Astyanax mexicanus: one gene and its partner. The protein of the gene in region 1 interacts with the protein of each later gene in a biochemical or structural test. Links are inferred from orthologs where the notes say so. Each region holds a gene or a part of one and is shown in the gene's direction. Other genes may lie near its edges. The genes, in order: f5 and pros1.

What was found.
Region 2: the proteins of f5 (region 1) and pros1 form a complex in vitro, tested with the Homo sapiens proteins (2 studies listed by BioGRID). The link is inferred for Astyanax mexicanus from reciprocal best matches to the Homo sapiens genes F5 and PROS1.

Annotation. Positions count from the first base shown.
Region 1 is NC_064418.1:5,183,729-5,192,973, reverse strand, and holds the start of f5 (coagulation factor V), read left to right. Parts: upstream 1-5,238; 5' UTR 5,239-5,300; coding exon 5,301-5,443; intron 5,444-6,446; coding exon 6,447-6,529; intron 6,530-6,713; coding exon 6,714-6,836; intron 6,837-8,313; coding exon 8,314-8,526; intron 8,527-8,713; coding exon 8,714-8,875; intron 8,876-9,245. UniProt on the Homo sapiens protein: Central regulator of hemostasis. It serves as a critical cofactor for the prothrombinase activity of factor Xa that results in the activation of prothrombin to thrombin.
Region 2 is NC_064428.1:18,919,700-18,929,231, forward strand, and holds the start of pros1 (vitamin K-dependent protein S), read left to right. Parts: upstream 1-5,853; 5' UTR 5,854-5,910; coding exon 5,911-5,980; intron 5,981-9,532. Other genes in the region: rasa3 (ras GTPase-activating protein 3), read left to right, coding at 396-471. UniProt on the Homo sapiens protein: Anticoagulant plasma protein; it is a cofactor to activated protein C in the degradation of coagulation factors Va and VIIIa. It helps to prevent coagulation and stimulating fibrinolysis.

The DNA of each region.
Region 1 (9,245 bases):
CAACAAACTGTGCAACATAGAGCTAGAACACTATAATAAATACTATAATTTCAGCAGACATGAGACAGTTTAACAGACAGGACACACTCTAAAAGTGTGTGGTGAGGATAAGGTGCTGAGATATGTAACTATCATACTGTAACATATAAATATAACGTACTGTAACATACAGTAACATCTAGATATATGTTGAACAATGTGTTGCACCTTTATTTTGTCTATACTGTACTGTATCTTCCATGTTGCACTGTGTGGTTCTGGAGGAACGTGGCTAATTTCATTGCACTGTGTACTTGTACTTATTTGGAATGACAGTAAAAGCCTCTTGCCTTGAACATAGAAAAGTGAATTTAGCTAAATGACGTATGTATATATGTATATATTTCTGATTTCTATTTTTTAACCAGATAACACGATAAGTATAGATACTGCAGTAATGTTAATATAAACAGCTGCTAGTCTGTGTGTGTGTGTGTGTGTGTTAGTATTGATTAGGCTGGACACGCAGACTGCAGAGGAGCCCAGCACACACCCTCACTAACACTAACACTGACACTGAGTACAAATAAAACAAAACACAGATAAATCCTTCAGTAAATTAGCTAAATAACAGTGTTTATGGTTTTGTTTCTACCTTTACCTGTCAATCAGCTGCTCTCCACTCTTCCCAATTTCACGCCGACGCTACTGCGCACGCGCACGGTGAATCCGGCGTCATCGCCCCGCACTTTCACAAGTAAAGTCCCCCTTCAGATCAGCTGTAAATAAAATACAGATATTTTTGTTTCGTATACATTTTTTAAATGTTTATATTTATTAAAAAATCATACAAATAATCTAAATACTACTCTAAGTTATATCTTACTAATTCCTATAAGTTACGTGAAAAATATTCACGTAAAAATAAAAAATATTATTTATTTAATTTTAGATTTTTTTTTTATTTCTTGACATATAAGTGACCGTGGTAAATATTATTTGTATATTTATATAAGTTTGTGTTGTAAAAAATAATGTTTATATTTTTAAAATAAATCATAAAACTTATCTAAAAACTACTGCAGAATATACTTTACTAATGCCTTTATTTTATATTGATAAAAATATTATTTATTTAATTTATTTCCCCACATATAAGTAAATGTGGAAAATTTATATATTGGGGTATTTATATATTTATATACGTTTGTGTTGTATAAATAATGTTTATATATTAAAAATAAATCATACAAATAATCTCAATACTTTTACAGGATATATTCTATTAATTCCTATATTTTATGTAGATAAAAAAATATATATATTATTTTATATAACTTATTTCTCCACATATAAGTGACTGTGGGAAATTATATAGGGAAAATATACTGTAATTTAAAATAAAAATAAAAACTGTATTTTAAGATATATTATAATATTACATTTTATTTGAAAATACAAAACATGCAGTCAACAAATCACAAAATAAATCAATGAAATAAATAAGTTAGAAGCATTTTTAGCTTCAGTTGAGTTACACTATATTGCCAAAAGTATTCGCTCACCCTTCCAAACCAATTAATTCAGGTTTCAATCACATCCAATAATACTAACAATATTTAGCCTAAACAGTAATAAGAGCACAGTAATGAAAAAGTGGAGATACTTTAGTGACGGTGCTGAATTAGTAGTTCTAAATCATTGGTAGAGAGAAGACAGTAAAGGACGCTAGAGAAGACAGTGAAGCATAAACCACAAGGGTTAAGATTCTCATTAGTTTTATCAGAAAATATAGCTGAATAGCTGTGAATGTTAGTCTGCTTGTCTCTGAGTCTGTTTCCTGAACACAAATTATAGTCTAGACAAAGCTGAAAGGATTTCCGCTGGGGAATCTTCACTGACAGTGTTTAGTCTTAAAAACTAAACCCTGTTTATAATTTCTTTTTGGAGTCTACATGTTTAATATCCTTGTTATTCATATTCTAAGTCTATGTAAGAGTTGCTGTTATTTATAGCAGCACCAGCAGGGGATACAATAGAGCTTTTCCTGTAAGGCTGTAGAAGCCTTAACAGACTGTTGCACCTATTCCATCCATTTATTTGACCCTTCCAGTGGTAAACTGTTAAGCAATGTTGGGTGATATGACATAAATGTGACATAATTATATTTTAATAATACATATTATTTTTATATATTAATTATACATAATTATACTAGAGATATTCAAGATATGGATAAAAGTACAAGTGCTACTCTTTATTCTTGACATCCATAATGTGTTCAGAAAAGCATATCATAATGTCATTATGTCTAATTATAGCTATAAACAGTGTCAGATCATTTGGCTCAGCTCTATATTTGTCTAAAATAAGTTTACTACTGTATAAATTAACTGAAATAATGTGAATACTGCTAAAAATGCATTTGTTTTGAGTTATAGTTGCTTATGCTTAAATTTCAGGTTTTCCTTTGTTTATGTGACTTTATTGCGGAAGCATTTTATTACCAGAGCTCCACCACTTTCTCCACCACTTCTGGGCATGTCAGTGACCTTCCACTTCTAAATCCTAACAGATGTGCAAAGTACCTTAGGGGAATTTTCCATCAGACAATGACGAAATTCCAACTAATTAAATTTTTCTGTCATGCAAGGTTTGTGATGCATATCGCTGTAACCATGCCAGTAAAAACATCACTGATCAGAAATGTGTTCCTGCTGACGGTAAGACAGTATGAGGTTCTTCTTGGAATTTTTTGACAGTTAACAGATTTTGCAAGATATTTTATACGAGTAAGACAGTCAGAGCCTCTGACAGCAGTGTTTTAGTTACTAAGTTACAAAGTGTCTTCATCCTTTTATAATCACTCACCCACACTTTATTTAGACAGTGTTGTCTCATCTCACTGCCAGCATTTCTTTATTATTTATTATTATTTATTATTTAACAATAAAAATTATTATTATTTATTGTATTTATTTTGCAGTCCCTGGTTGGTCACAGCATTTTAGTGTCATACCCGTGTGGAGCTACTACATCTGTATAATGTCCAATTTGATATGTCACTTATTTCTAAGTTACATTGATGACAGTCCAGTAACTTTACCCATGTTTTGGTCAGTGTTTATTGACTTTAACTTAAAAAAGAAAAAATCATTTGTCAGTTAATGTAATGCATCATGTCATGAACATCATAATACTACACTACATATGTTAAATAATATAATACAATATACAGTAATATTGTATTATATAAGTACATATTTTAATGCCACAGTCATCAGCTTGTTTTACAGATTTGAAAAAGTATCCAAACATGTAACAAGAAAAAATACAAGAATAGACAATTTGCTATTATTTCTGTTAGTAACAAAAACTAGATTTGAGGAAATTCCTAGTTTTACATTTTAGGGCAAATTCTATAGAAACAAAGGGATACATTAATTGAGCAATGTGAAATTATCAGAAAATAATATCACTATAAATTCTTAGATATAGTCTAAGTAAAGATTTCTTTGGCTCATAATGATACGATATAAAACCATTTTCTAAATGATTTATATGGGACCATCTACAAAAATTCTACTAATATTAAGAAAGGAAAACAAGCATTAAACATCAACATGGTCCTTCTGAGGTGATAACATGACAGATCTGTCCTATCTGCTTTAACCACAAATACAGTTTCTTTTCTTTTTTTGTGTGAACATGATGTACAATCTTTCTGTCCTATTTGTTCAGCTGCGTTTACAAATTGTCAGCACAAGTGGGCGTGTTTTTTTTTTTTTTACATATTAACCACCGGCTCTCACTACAAAATGAAAGTGAAAAAAAACAATTGTAGATATCCTCTGGTGATATCTAATGGAGAATTTATTGCTGTTACCTCCAATTATTATCACATGCTAAAAATGTCTAAACAGTAAACAGGAGATACATTAACATTTAGAACATGCTACTCTTTAATCTTTTAGTCCTCCATCTCTGAAAAAGTGAATGACGTCATTCTTCCAGGCAGTGAGCACAAATACTGCTGGTACCTGACTACTGACACGTCCCCAAAAGCTACAGTGTCACCTTAACAAATTACTCCTGAGCTGCATTCAGAAGGGTTCACTCATTGACTTCTTCATTATTCACTGTGGCATAACGTTATCCAAAAGCAGCGTGTAAGACTGATGAAGGAAAACATGCCAAGATGCATGAAAACTGTGATTAAAAACCAGGGTTATTCCACCAAATAATGCTTTCTGAACTCTTTAGCTCTTCTTAAAACTCTATAAATATGAACTTGTTTCTTTGCATTATTTGAGGTCTGAAAGCTCTGCATTTTTTTTTTTTTGTTGTTTTTTCAGCTATTTCTTATTTTCTCTGCTAAACGCTCTAAATGTTGTAAATGACCATATTTTTATTTGGAATTTGGGAGAAATGTTGTCCGTAGTTTATAGATGAAAACAACAATGTTCATTTTACTCAAACATATATCTTTAAATAGCAAAATCAGAGAAACTGATTTAGAAACTGAACTGGTCTCTTATTTTTTTCCATAGCTGTATATCGCTAACTAGCGGCTAATAAAGTTAGCTTAGCTAACATAGGTAGTTAGCTAACCTAGCTAGGTGGTGTTAGCTGGGTTAGCTAACTAGCCAAATACCTATGTTAGCTAAGCTAACTTCATTTAGCCATGTTAATCATCTGTTTTACTCTATACAGCTTATAAAATGCTATCTGCATGCTAAAATGTTTAAGGTACATAACCTATATGTACTTAATAAACATTTTAAAAAGAATACCGTACGTTTACACAAATGTACTTGTCTTTGTGTCTTTTTACAATATAATTATTTTACCATTTGTAATTTTACAATCTTTAATTGAATGCAGTAATGCCTTTTAAATTAGTCTAATATTAGCTGTGATCAAAATAAAGCAGGTTTATTAGGTACTGTGATTAAATGTAAAGTGTAAACTGTTATAGAGCAACTTACTAGCTAGCTACTGTACTGTACATTTCATAGTGTTCTTTTTACAATAGTATTTTTTTATAAGCTGCTACTGATGACTAAAAATAAACATGTGGTTTTTGATTGGTGATGAAAGAGCAGAGTAGAGAGTTCGTTGCCCGGGACAAAATGTTGAAACTCTGTGTGTCTGTGTGTGTCTGTGTGTAGGTGGGTGTGTGTGTCTGGCTGTGGAAGATGAGACAGGAAAGACAAAAAAGAGGGAGGGAGAGATAAAGCTATCTGCAGTCTTTACTGAGGGATCAGAAGCTTCTGCTCTTTAGAACAGACTGGTCTTACCTGGGGCTTCCATGCTGAGACATGAGGCTCTACTCCAGGCCAGAGGCTCCCTGTGCTTTGGCCCTTCTGGCGTTTCTGACCGGCTGTGTTTCAGCAGTGGAGAGGAAATACTATATTGCTGCTGTGAATATTGACTGGGATTACAATGCTAATGGAAATCAGAGGTATGGATTTATCTGCATTTTTTTTTAATAATATCACAAATTGATTTAGTTTAATTGTGCTTTTTCTCCTGTTATTTAATTTTGTGTTTCATGTTAAATAATGATGATGAATTAAAATTTTAATATTTTAGCTGTTTTTGTTGAGTTGTATTTGTATAAAAGCTGTCAAATCGGAATTCTCTTTATTCAGCAAATACTGATTTATTTAAAAAAAAGTAATTTATTCAATTTAGAGTCAGTTTATGGATTTTTAAACATGTCATCTGTAGAATGGATTGTAGAGTAGTGTTTCTTTTGTGCTTTTGTGTTTTTAAAAATATATACTATAATAAGTATAGTGCTGTTTAAACATCTTAGGAACTAATCTCAGCAGTGTTTTTTTCTTTCAATATCGTCATATAATTTAAGATTATTTCAAGGCTTTGGCTCCTAAATGCATTAATAAATGGCATTTTGATTGGACAAGAGTTGTTTTGCAGTTGAATAAGTTGTTTGCAGTGAGATTTATAGACAGAAGACATTTTCATACTATATAATGATTCATTCATTAACTATCCAATATTGTTAGAGGTAAATTCATACTTAAAATCTATACTTTATTTTTAAAATGACACAATTTAAATACAAATGAACAACATAAACACAGCAGTCAGAATGTATGTCCAGTAAATGTATGTCTACTGATATGTTAAAAAACACAGTTGACAGCTTCTTTAAACTTTAGACACTGTGTAGAATTGTCAGTTTCACCAGAAGCTCGCCTGATTTGCCCTTTAATACATTTCCATTATACACAATTGCACTACATTGTTTATTATTGTATTATGTTATTATTATCATTATTTTTTTTTATTCTAATGTCATTCATTTTGAACAAGTGATCATGTACTGCACACATAAATAACTTTATATTTTTTAAGTGATTTTATATGTGTATAAAGACTTTTAAAGCATTTCCTTCTGTTCCCTGTAAATCGTTGTGGTTATTTTCATGGCTTTACAGGGGTGGTCCCATATATAGAAAGACAGTGTACAGGGAGTACGATCAACATTTCAAACAGGCCAAGACTCATCCTTCGTGGTCAGGTATTTAAGACACTGATTCAAGTCTGACTGATTCTCTTTTTAACATGACATCACTGTGTCTTCCTAACACTTACAAAAAAATACACTCACGTCAATGTCAAAGTGAATGTCAACATTACTTTAGGTCCAATACATTCACAGACTTACTGACTTATGGATAATGAATAATTATGTATATCTTAAGGGCTGCTGGGACCCACGCTGAGGGGTGAAGAAGATGACGTCATCACTGTCACTTTCAGAAACATGGCCGATCATCCATGTAGCATCCATCCGCATGGCATTGCTTATGGAAAACAGTCAGAGGGTCAGTAAACTGATGTTATAATAACTTACTATGCTGTGTTTTACAAACATTATAATATATAAACATAATCCTATGTTTCTAGCTGGTTAAGCATTGACCTTCACTGTAAAATTGTGAGTTTACCTACCAGTAATTCAATAGCCATCACAATTTGCTTCTCTTTCTCTGGGTGCATAGGATGGCACCACCTCTCTCTCTCTCACTATTACTTAACACTTAATAGTGCTATCCAATTCAGACATTGACTGACTGTCATTTAGTGATCTCCTCCAAGCGTGTAGATCTTTTGAATAATGGACAGCATTAAAAGCAATTCAAAAATATGTGATGGCAAAATCACAGGAAGCAGATGATATTTTTCAGCCGCAAAGTGTTGGTGAAATTGTGTAACAGGATAGTAAAGGAGTAGGAACAGCCTAAAACTTATTTTATACACTATTTATTTGCATAAAATTTGCATTTATTTATTTTGTCCTTATTATACACTCATTAAGGCTTTAACCAGCCAGTAATTATTAACAAGTCATTAACAGGCTACATGTTACTACTGTATATTATTAAGCAATATCTAGACCAGGGGTCACCAACATGGTGCCCGCGGGCACCAGGTAGCCCGCAAGGACCTTATGAGTAGCCCGCAGGCCTGGTCTAAAAATAGCATTTTTGTTGCTATTCTTTTTTTTTTTAAATCACAGTTGCATTGATGTAATTTTAGATTATATTACATTAATATTAGCTTAGAGATAGCCTATAGTTTATATATTATTATACAATATAATGTAATATAATATGTAATATTATATTAAAATATAATATAAAATGTAAACACTTGCAGAGATTTATAATAATAGTGTTGCCTATTGATATCTGTGTCTTCACATAGATGAATGTCATTAATTATTAATAATAACATATAATTAAAGGTAAATTGAGAAAATTTGTAATTTCACGAGTGTGTATCAAACTGGTAGCCCTTCGCATTAATTGGTACCCAAGAAGTAGCTCTCAGGTTCAAAAAGGTTGGTGACCCCTGATCTAGACTGATCTAATACGACTTAATAAGAGCATTTCAAGTGCTTACTTTAGCCTAGTTACTAAAGACTGTACTTATAACCAGTTAAATACCTAGGACTACAGAATTTATAAGACCATTAAAATTTTAAGAACATTAAATGTTTGTTACATTGTTACTCGTTATTTTAAGAATATTTTTTCAGCAACAAGTTGAATAACTACTGTGATTTACTGAACATCCAGCACAAACAGGTCTTTATTTACCTTTTTCATACATATTAACCACAGGTTGTACCCAAGTCCAAATCGACAGCAAAAAAAAAAAGAACATTCGTTTACTCAACACATATCTGCTTCTATTTCCCGTTATATGATATAACTCTCTTCCTCTCTCCTCAGATGAATAATACTAAACATTTCGCAAAACATTCATATTTCTCAATTTAAATCCTCAATCTTTTAGGCTCTTTATACTTTGACAACACCTCCGACTTTGAAAAAGAGGACGATGTCATCAGTCCTGGCAATGAGCACACGTACTCCTGGGAGGTGAGTCCTGATGTGGTCCCGAAAGCTACAGACCCTCCCTGTCTCACCTACATGTACATCTCCCACCAAGACATTGTCAGAGACTACAACACAGGCCTGATTGGGATGATGCTGGTCTGTAAGAAAGGTAAGTCACTTAAAGGTTTATTTTTTAAGCGTCCGTGATCCTCATTATTGGGTATTACTTTCAATGTGTGTGCATTGCATCATCGGCCCTGTGCTCTGTTACTCTTTCGGAGATCAGAGGACCTGGTATCAGAGATAAGACTGTTTATGCTGAAGGTCAGCGTGGTATGTGTTTTTTTGCTCTGCAGGCAGCCTCAGTGACTCTGGAGATCAGGTCCATTTTCAACAGGAACTGGTGCTGCTCTTTGGGGTGTTCGACGAGAACAAAAGCTGGTACAGCAAAGGAGGCCCTCCAACTAAAGAGCATGTGAAATACACCATCAATGGCTTCACAAATGGCTCTGTTCCAGGTAAGTTAACCACTGAAGACTAAAATAATATATTAAGAGAGAGTTTTATTCACCAACTTAGTTTACTTTAACTTTATTTTCGGTTACCATAGCCTGTTTGGCTATTCTAGTCTATTTAAATGTTCCCAAGAAAGCTAAAAACAATATACAGTAAATGTATTATTAAAGGTACAACATACAAAAGGGAAAATAATACAAATTTAAGACACATCATCTTTAATTGTCTTTCTGGGAGATTACTTCAACAATCAACAGCAAATCAGTATATGTTTAAATAACCTAACTGTTTATCTGCTGCATTTTTAATTGTACAAATTTCCAGTAGCAATAATTGTGGGTGTGTCCTCACTAAAAAATTTACAATTTAAAT
Region 2 (9,532 bases), on another chromosome or scaffold:
AAGTTAAGAAATCAATATTTGGTGGAATAATCCTGGGTTTTTTTAATCACAGTTATTTAATGCATCTTGGCATGTTCTCCTCCACTTGTCTTACACGCTGCTTTTGGATAACTTTATGCCACTTCTGGTGTAAAAATTGAAGCAGTTCAGTTTGGTTTGATGGCTTGTGATCATCCATTTTCCTCTTGATTATATTCCAGAGGTTTTCAATTTGGTAAAATCATAGAAACTTATCGTTTTAAAGTGGTCTCTTTTTTTTTTTTTTTTAGAGCTGTATATGTGCATTTATTTATACTTATGTCATTTTTCGTCCTCTATAGGTGTTCAGAGTGTGCTGCTATTGGGCAACAAACTAATCTGTAGTTTGTTTGTTTGTTTGTTTTTTATTAATACAGGGAGCATCCAATCGGTGACAAGAGCTTCCAGTGCTACATTCGCCAACAATCAGAGAGCTCCACCTACTCAATCTGACCCAACTGCCCAATCAGCACCGTGCCCTTCTCTCTGCACCGAACACCACGGCAGTGAGCGTACGACACAGCAACACCGAGCTGTGACTAAAGAAGGAAGAGGAGAAAGCAGTAAAGAAGATGAAGCAGCGAAGAGTGAAGCTCACATGAAGCTATCTATACCTTTTTGTATGATGTACAAACCCAATCAACAGCTTTCCACTGAACTGTGTGTCAGCGGCCATATGCACTTTAATCGTCACACCTGCCCCGTCGACGATGTAGCTCTGCCTCATGGCATGTTTTAAACATTGTAATACGAGTTTTTTTTGTATGAAAAAAAAAATAAGAAGGAAAAATATGGATCCACCAATGAGAGACTTTGTTTTAGGTATTGATTATTTTATTCTATTTGTTCTCAAACTTCAGGACCAAACTATAGGTCTGAGAATATTTTCTGATGTTTGTTTTTTTTTAGTCAGTGAATTTTTTAGTCTTGTTGGTGCATGCCTGTAATAACAGCCTCACAACCAATCACAAACCAGTTCAGAAAATTAAGAGCCTGCTGACAGTAGCTATGGGAATCCGGGTAATGGGTAAACTTTCTTTAATTTTCATTGAGCTGCATTTAAGTGCTGGCAATGTAAGTATAGCCAAAGTACAACAAAAAATGTTGTCAATCAAATGAGCAGAGGTTTCCCAGATAGCATTAAGAATCACACACAAGTATGGCCAATGTATGGCAGCATTGCCTGAGATTCGGCATCAGCCATGCGGAATTGGGCCAAATGTGGTATATACTCAGCAACTGGGGTTTTGGTAAAAGCAGTGCAGGCTAATCGCCATGTTACACTCTAGAACCAGGGTGCTGGCACATGCGGCTAATGTTGGCAAATCCGTCATTCAGCCCGGATGTGAGCCAAGCTTTTGGTCCAGAATCAGACCTAAATTTGTGCTATCTAGGTTAATTGTTCTGAATTGGGACGGTGGATTGGATTTGTTTCAGCTTCAGAGGACCTATCTGAATCAGATGTTAACTGTAATCTTTTTTTCTTATTCTTATAATGACAGTGTCCAAGATATCAAGGTATAATACTGTCTTAGGTCGACTGTCGTTATGGAAGCTTTCTTTTGTTGCCATTTTTTGGTATCTAAAGTGTTTCTTTGTTGATTTTTGCCTGCACCTTGCCCTTGTTTAGACGTGTTGCAGTATTGTTTCCTGCTTTTGTGAACATTCCTTTACACTTTTTGGTATGTAAACCTGTCAGTTAAACCCAATTAGCTACAGCGTAGGCACAGTTACAGTTAAAGTTACAGTACATAGCACTGTGCAGATGTTATAGACCAGCTTTCATTTATTTCCTTAGTAGCCAAGTTTGTTATTGATTAATTAATAAATGATCGGTTTACAGGCAGAACAAAAGTAGAAAATATAAACATTTAACAGAAAATCACACAGAAGCCTCAACTACATATAACATTAGAATTTTTTATATTTACTACTATTAATTGAAGGATAGACCGATACCACTTTTCCCCTTCCAATATTCCGATATAGATTACAAATTTTCAAGTATTTAACGATACTGAGTACCAATACCAAAACCAACTTTGACTTTATTACTCTAAAGGTGCCTATAAAGTTGCACAAATGTACAACAAATTCTGACTGGTACAGTAGGTCCCATCTAGGCCCAATGTGCAGAAAATGAGAAATGGTTGAAATAACAAAAAAGATGCAGAGCTTTCAGACCTCAAATAATGCAAAGAAAACAAGTTTATATTCATAAAGTTTTAAGAGTTCAGAAAGCAATATTTGATGGAATAATCCTGGTTTTTAATCACAGTTTTCATTAATCTTGTCATGTTTTCCTCCAGCAGTCTTACACACTGCTTTTGGATAACTTTGGACAACAAATATTAAAGCAGTTCAGTTTGGTTTGATGGCTTGTGATCATCCATCTTCCTCTTGATTATATTCCCTAGTGGTCTTTTATTTTGTTAGAGCTGTATATATGTCGGGCCCATCACTGAAGCCCACAGACCACACATATTGGTTCTAAGTTGTGCGGCCTATATTGGAGATGAAATAAAACGTGAACGCTGGTCTCTAGCTTTTGCACAGTGTCAAATGTCAAAGACACGGCAACAATCAACTCAGTACTAATATTTTGTCACCAATTCCAAGCCAATCACTGTAGTGCTCCTTTCTTAAATCTGAATCATCTAAGAGAACCTACCTGGCGTGCAACAGCTGCCCTTTTAAGAACAGACTGCCAGTTATATCGATGCCAGACATTTTTTGTGTGTTTTGTACTTTTGTTGAATTTTATGTACTGTAATTAATGCATTTTCTATCTGTGTCTTGTACTGAGAACTCTTGCCCTTTGAGATACAGGTTTCAGAACCTGTGTGTGTGTGTGTGTATGAATAATTGCGGATTGAAGCAAGCGAGCATGTATGTATAAAGGAGTGTATGTTAATGGAATGGAATCGGAGAAGCAACATTTCCAGTTTCTCTTTTGAAGAATTCTCAAAGTTCCATGATTCTGTTTCCAGGTTTTCCATTTTCACCAGTGATCTCCCAGCATTTCATTTCTGTTTGTGACATCATGAGTGTCGTTCTTCCGTGTTTGAGGTTCTGAACTATATTAATGACCCACATGCCTCACTATAATTCGCTCAGTACTGCATGTTTTAGTGTGAATATGTTGTTTCAGTAGAAGCCAGACAGCCTTCTGCTACCCACTTCAAAAAGTTCAGTATTTATTTTTATATCACAGTATAGCATTTTGTGGAAGAAGTTATTTGATTACGAAAAAGCACTGTACGCTCTTCAGACGCACAGTATAAACGATGCAATAATTTTATGATCATTTATTTTACCAATATCTGATCTGTTACAAATTATAATTGATAAATCCTATAGTCCAGCTACAAATCAATAATTTTCTTCAAAGTGAAACCTTAAAAAGGGAGAACAGTGTATTTTATATAAGTATATAAAGAGTATTATTACAAGTCTGTGATGTGTACAGGTCAAATGTGGAACGCGTTATGAAAACATGAATGCAAAATTTCTTTTTGTTTTGTTTTTTGTCCAAATGAAGACAATAGCAACAAAATGGTGTCTGTGTTTTTATTATATTTAGACACATCTGACTGTTTATCATCTTTTCAACAGGAATTGCTTGAATGCTTGACAAATGCTTGACAATTGTTTATAAAATGTATATATATATATTTTAAATTTTTAAACTAGTTATTTACGAAACTAAATGTGTGGATGAAAAACAACAGAATTAATATTTGGTGGCTGTTGAGCAGATGAAAGTCAACAGATGAGTGTAGGTCAACATGGCTGTGGAGTAAATGGGAGAAACAAGGGAAGAAAATTTAACAACAAACCAATGATTGTGCACCAAATTACAGTAAATTTGTTATTAATTTCTGCCCTCAGTTAATGTTGTGTACTTATGCTTACTGGTCATTTCTTAGGTTCAAATCTTTTTGAAAAAAAAAAACAAAACACATTTCAAAATTTTTATGCAGGTGATTTAAATCACTGCTAGAATGTCTATGCTTAAAAATAGTCTAATAAATTCTTAGTTATACACTAAAATATTTACAGAGAAAATATTATTGGACATTAAAATTGCCATCATTGTAATGTACTTGAGTATTTACAACAGACAAGAATCTAATGAAAATTAAAAACAATATTTATTTACCATAGATAAACAGAGAAAATATGCAAGCTTAAAGGACATCATAATTAATATTAATTAACAATTTAAGACTTGAATAATGAAAGAACAAATATAAGGTAAGGTATAATAGAAGGCAGTTACAGGTAAACAGAAGGCAGTTACAGGTAAACAGAGGGTTGTTACAGGTAAACAGAGGTGAACAGGGGCAGTTCCAGGTAAATAGAGGTATAGAGAGGGTTGTTACAGGTAAACAGAGGTGAACATGGGCAGGTTCAGGTAAACAGAGGTATAGAGAGGGTTGTTACAGGTAAACAGAGGTATAGAGAGAGTTGTTACAGGTGAACAGAGGGTTGTTACAGGTAAACAGAGGTATAGAGCGGGATGTCACAGATAAACAGAGGTATAGAGAGGGTTGTTACACGTAAACAGAGGGTGGTTACAGGTAAACGGGTATAGAGAAAGCTGTTACAGGTAAACAGAGGGTGGTTACAGGTAAACAGGGGTATAGAGAGGATTGATACAGGTAAACAGAGGTGAACAGGGACAGTTCCAGGTAAACAGAGGTATAGAGAGGGTTGTTACAGGTAAACAGAGGTGAACATGGGCAGGTTCAGGTAAACAGAGGTATAGAGAGGGTTGTTAAAGGTAAACAGAGGTATAGAGCGGGATGTTACAGGTAAACAGAGGTATAGAGAGGGTTGTTACAGGTAAACAGATGTATAGAGCGGGATGTTACAGGTAAACAGAGGTATAGAGAGGGTTGTTACAGGTAAACAGAGGGTGGTTACAGGTAAACGGGTATAGAGAAAGCTGTTACAGGTAAACAGAAGTATAGAGAGGATTGATACAGGTAAACAGAGGGTGGTTACAGGTAAACAAAGGGAATAGAGAGGATTGATACAGGTGAACAGAGGTTTATTACAGGTAAACAGAGCTGAACAGGGGCAGTTACAGGTAAACAGAGGTATAGAGAGGGCTGTTACAGGTAAACAGAGGTATAGAGAGGGTTGTTACAGGTAAACAGAGGGTGGTTACAGGTAAACGGGTATAGAGAAAGCTGTTACAGATAAACAGAAGTATAGAGAGGATTGATACAGGTAAACAGAGGGTGGTTACAGGTAAACAAAGGGAATAGAGAGGATTGATACAGGTGAACAGAGGTTTATTACAGGTAAACAGAGCTGAACAGGGGCAGTTACAGGTAAACAGAGGTATAGAGAGGGCTGTTACAGGTAAACAGAGGTATAGAGAGGGTTGTTACAGGTAAACAGAGGTATAGAGAGGATTGATACAGGTGAACAGAAGGTTGTTACAGGTAAACAAAGGGAATAGAGAGGATTGGGACACGTAAACAGAGGGTTGTTCCAGGTAAACAGAGGTATAGAGTGGGTTGTTACAGGTAAACAGAGCTGAACAGGGGCAGTTCCAGGTAAACCGAGGTATAGAGAGGGTTGGTACAGGTAAACAGAGTTTTGTTACAGGTAAACAGAGCTAAGCTGAGGGTCGTTGGTGTGCAGGTTTACCTGGCTGACTGCAGGGTTGCTGTGAGGCGGTGAGGAGAGCAGAGCGCGGCGGGGGAACAGCGCCCTCTCTGGCCGCTCGGGTTGTTGGCCTGTTGGCGCTCTCCCAGCACCTCCTCGCTGAAGCAGCGAAAAAAAACTCCTGTGAGGGGAATAAAAAGTTCTCCCACCGGCCAGAAACTCAGCCAGCAGCGACATAAGCCCCTCCGAGCCCGCGGTTCAGGCCTGAACATGAGGGGGGAGAGAGCGGCGGCGCTGGCCAGCCTCCTGCTGGTCTGGACTGTGTGCGATGCCCACCGCTGTAAGTATTCATTACCGCCAGGCTTTATTTATTTACCCGGACTTTACGCTGCTCTCACTCAGACAGCGGATAGCGGGCGCGGGAGCTGCTCACTCGGTCCCACACACCCGATTACTGAGTTTACTGAGGGCTGTGGGCTTAAATCTGAATCACAGTTATGGTTAGTTAGATCCTGAACTACGTCACTATTAAACTATTTGGCAGCGCCGTGTTTAGAGTAGCAGATCGATGAATCTGATCGATCAGTGAGAGCGCGCGCTTTAGACTAACAGCGTGTTAAACAGGTACAAACTCCCTGCAGGGACGTGTTTTCGCTCAGTGGACTCCAGCACGTGGTGAGATAAATCCCCCGAGCTACGTAAAAACCGCTGGCGCACTCAGTGTCCGCTCTTAATCCGGTTAAACCTGCGGGCGAGCTGCACTTCAGCTCCATTCAGTTCTTTAAAAACTGATTCAGCCCTCATTTTACCCTCTGATCTGCTGTTCTAGCCTCCAGCACGGTCTGCAGGTACCGCGATACTCCTAATATCGCAAAAAAACGATTCTCTACGATACTTAAAGGTCCCACTCCATCGTTTTTCATTCATTTTAAAATGTCTAGTTGTGCTATCTAGTATGAATGAATGCCATGTGAGCTGTTTTTGTGATCTAAAGTGCTCTGGTATTTCTATTTTATCTTTGGTCTCTGAAGGAAGACAGGATTCTTGCTCATGAATATTCATGCATGCAAACATATCGCCTCTGATTGGCTAACAGCACAAAATAACTAAAAAAAATCAGATCTGAGCCACATTGAGCAAAAAAAATCAGATTTGAGTCATTTCTGCCTGGTAATGTGTATGTAGCCTTAGGAAGTTTAGAGCACCTTTGTTTCAATAAAATCACTGATATTGGACAGTAAATATCAATTATATATCACAAACAAAAACAATACAATATATCGCAAAATCAATATTTTGTCCCACACTAATCACAATATGTCAGGGTATTTATAGGATAGCAGTATTTGTGGCGATATTATAAAGACATCGAAATTTGTAAAAATAAATAAATAAATGAATAAATAAATATGCTACTGCAAAAAATAAATTAATATTATTATTAAAGGAGAAATCCGATGTGAAATAGACTCGTGGTGTAGTGATACATGAAAACGAGTACAAACTTTTGACGAATAGCCCACCTTTGTTCACCCCCAACATTCTGGAATATAGCACTTTTACATTACATTACATTACATTACATTTGGCAGACGCTTTTGTCCAAAGCGGCTTACAATAGTTGAGTACAATGTAAAATAAGTTTAAAGGTAAAACATCTTTGGATAGGGATAAAAGGAGGACAAAGGGGAATAATAGGATAGAGGAGTGAAGGAGAGGAAGAAGGAAATGAGGATAGAAGTAGTTAGTGTGTTAGAGGTGTTTAAGAGTCTAAGTGCTCTTTGAAGAGCTCTGTCTTCAGGAGTTTCTTAAAGATAGCGAGTAGGGATGCAAATTATCGATTAATTCGTTAATCATTAGTTGATTGATCTTATCGATCGACTTTCGATTAATTGATAAGCGGCGTTTTTACCTGAATTTTAGTGTTTCAATAGGGCCTTTAAAAATACCAGCTAAATAGTTAAAACACTGAGCTCAAAAAGTATATATGATATTATGATAATTATATTGTATTATATTATATTATATATTCCTCAAGTAATTATGCATTAGGAAAAGAAATCAGACTTTTTATGGTATAAGAAAATACATTCTTTAATTTAAAAAAAGAAATAAATTAAGGACTGGCTCAGTTTTTGCGTTTTTGTACCATTAGACATATTAAAAAAAAAAAAAGAATAGAAGAAATTAAATAGAGAGGCAAACAGATTATTATTGAGCCTATAGATTATGAAGAAACTGCATCCAGGCTATTAATTAGGAAATCCTCAACAATCCTCAATGCAAAGAGATCCTGAAACCCTGTACCGTCAACTGTCTAGATTGGCATCAAATCTCTCTTGATCATGCTGCATATCCTCTCTGTAATGTCCTCCGCCCTTCTCTCATCACACGCTCGCGCTCTCAGTGAAACTGTGACGGTGTTCAAATGATAACTGAGTGAGCTAGTGGAACTGTTGTATTTCAATACCGAATTACACAGAGAACATTTGACTTCTTTGCCTAAATTAACATTGTTGAAATGGTCCCACACCGCACTTATTTTCGCCCGCTTCATTTGGTTTTCAACCCTGGTCTCTCGCGAGTCGTGTTCACCTCTCGTTCTCACGCTCTGTTCAAGTTACTACAGTAGCGCCCTCTAGCGATTAATCGCGAGTAATACATTTTGTTCGAGCAACCTCTTGATCGACAATTAATCTAAAGTCGATTAATCATTTGCATCCCTAATAGCGAGAGATTCTCCTGATCTGGTAGTGGAAGGTAGTTTGTTCCACCATTGGGGAACTCTGTATGAGAACAGTCTGGATTGCTTTGTGTGAGTTTTTGGCAAAGCGAGGCGACGTTCACTGGAGGAGCGCAGCGGCCGGGAGGTAGCGTAAGCCTTCAGGAGCGAGTGCAGGTAGGAAGGAGCCTGTTCTGTCATCACCTTGTAGGCGATTGTAAGAGCTTTGAATTTGATGCGAGCATCAACTGGTAGCCAATGGAGCTCAATGAGCAGCGGGGTGACATGTGCCCGTTTTGGCTGGTTGAAGACCAGACGTGCTGCTGCGTTCTGGATCATCTGGAGTGGTTTTACTACACAGGACGGGAGGCCAGTTAGCAGGGCATTGCAGAAGTCGAGGCGTGAGATGACGACCGCTTGCACCAGGAGTTGGGTGGCCTGTTGCGTCAAGAACGGTCTAATTTTTCGGATGTTATAGAGCGCAAAGCGGCAGGACCGAGCAACCGAGGCCACATGGTGCCTTAATGCTAGTGATAGGGGTATTGCATTTCCCATCCAGGGAAATCACTTTTTTGTGCCATTAACAAGCTCATAGTAGCTCCACGCTTTATTGGTGGATTTCCAAGGGCCCTGACATTTAAAACGAGACACTGAGAACATTGAAAGTGCACAGTACAGTTGTCAGTTGCCTTATCTTCACTTAATTTCAAGTGAAGATGCTACAACATACCCACTTTGATTCGGACAGGAATTTTAATAATAAATTGATTAGTTAAATCAGGTGTGTTTGGAGAATGTAGAACAAGTGATTGCAGGACTGGAAGGTTCCAGGACCAGGTTTGTAAAAAAAAATGTTTTTGTTCTCTTAAGATCAAGTCCTATTTGTGCTGAATCTTGTGCTTTGGAACACTGGGTGGTCCTGGAATATGACTTTCCCACATTTTTATTGTTTCCATGATCTAATGCTTTATTCAACTACTCAGGGCTATTCCAGTTTTTGATACATCACTTCATTTTCTAGCATGGTGGTCCCAAACTCAGGTCCTGTAGGCTCACAGTTTTTGCTCTAATTTATCCCAAAGGTGTTTTATTGGGTTCAGGTCAAGCAAAGAAGTCAAGGTCTTTCACATCAAACTCGTTCATCAGTGTCTTTATGGACCTTGCTTTGTG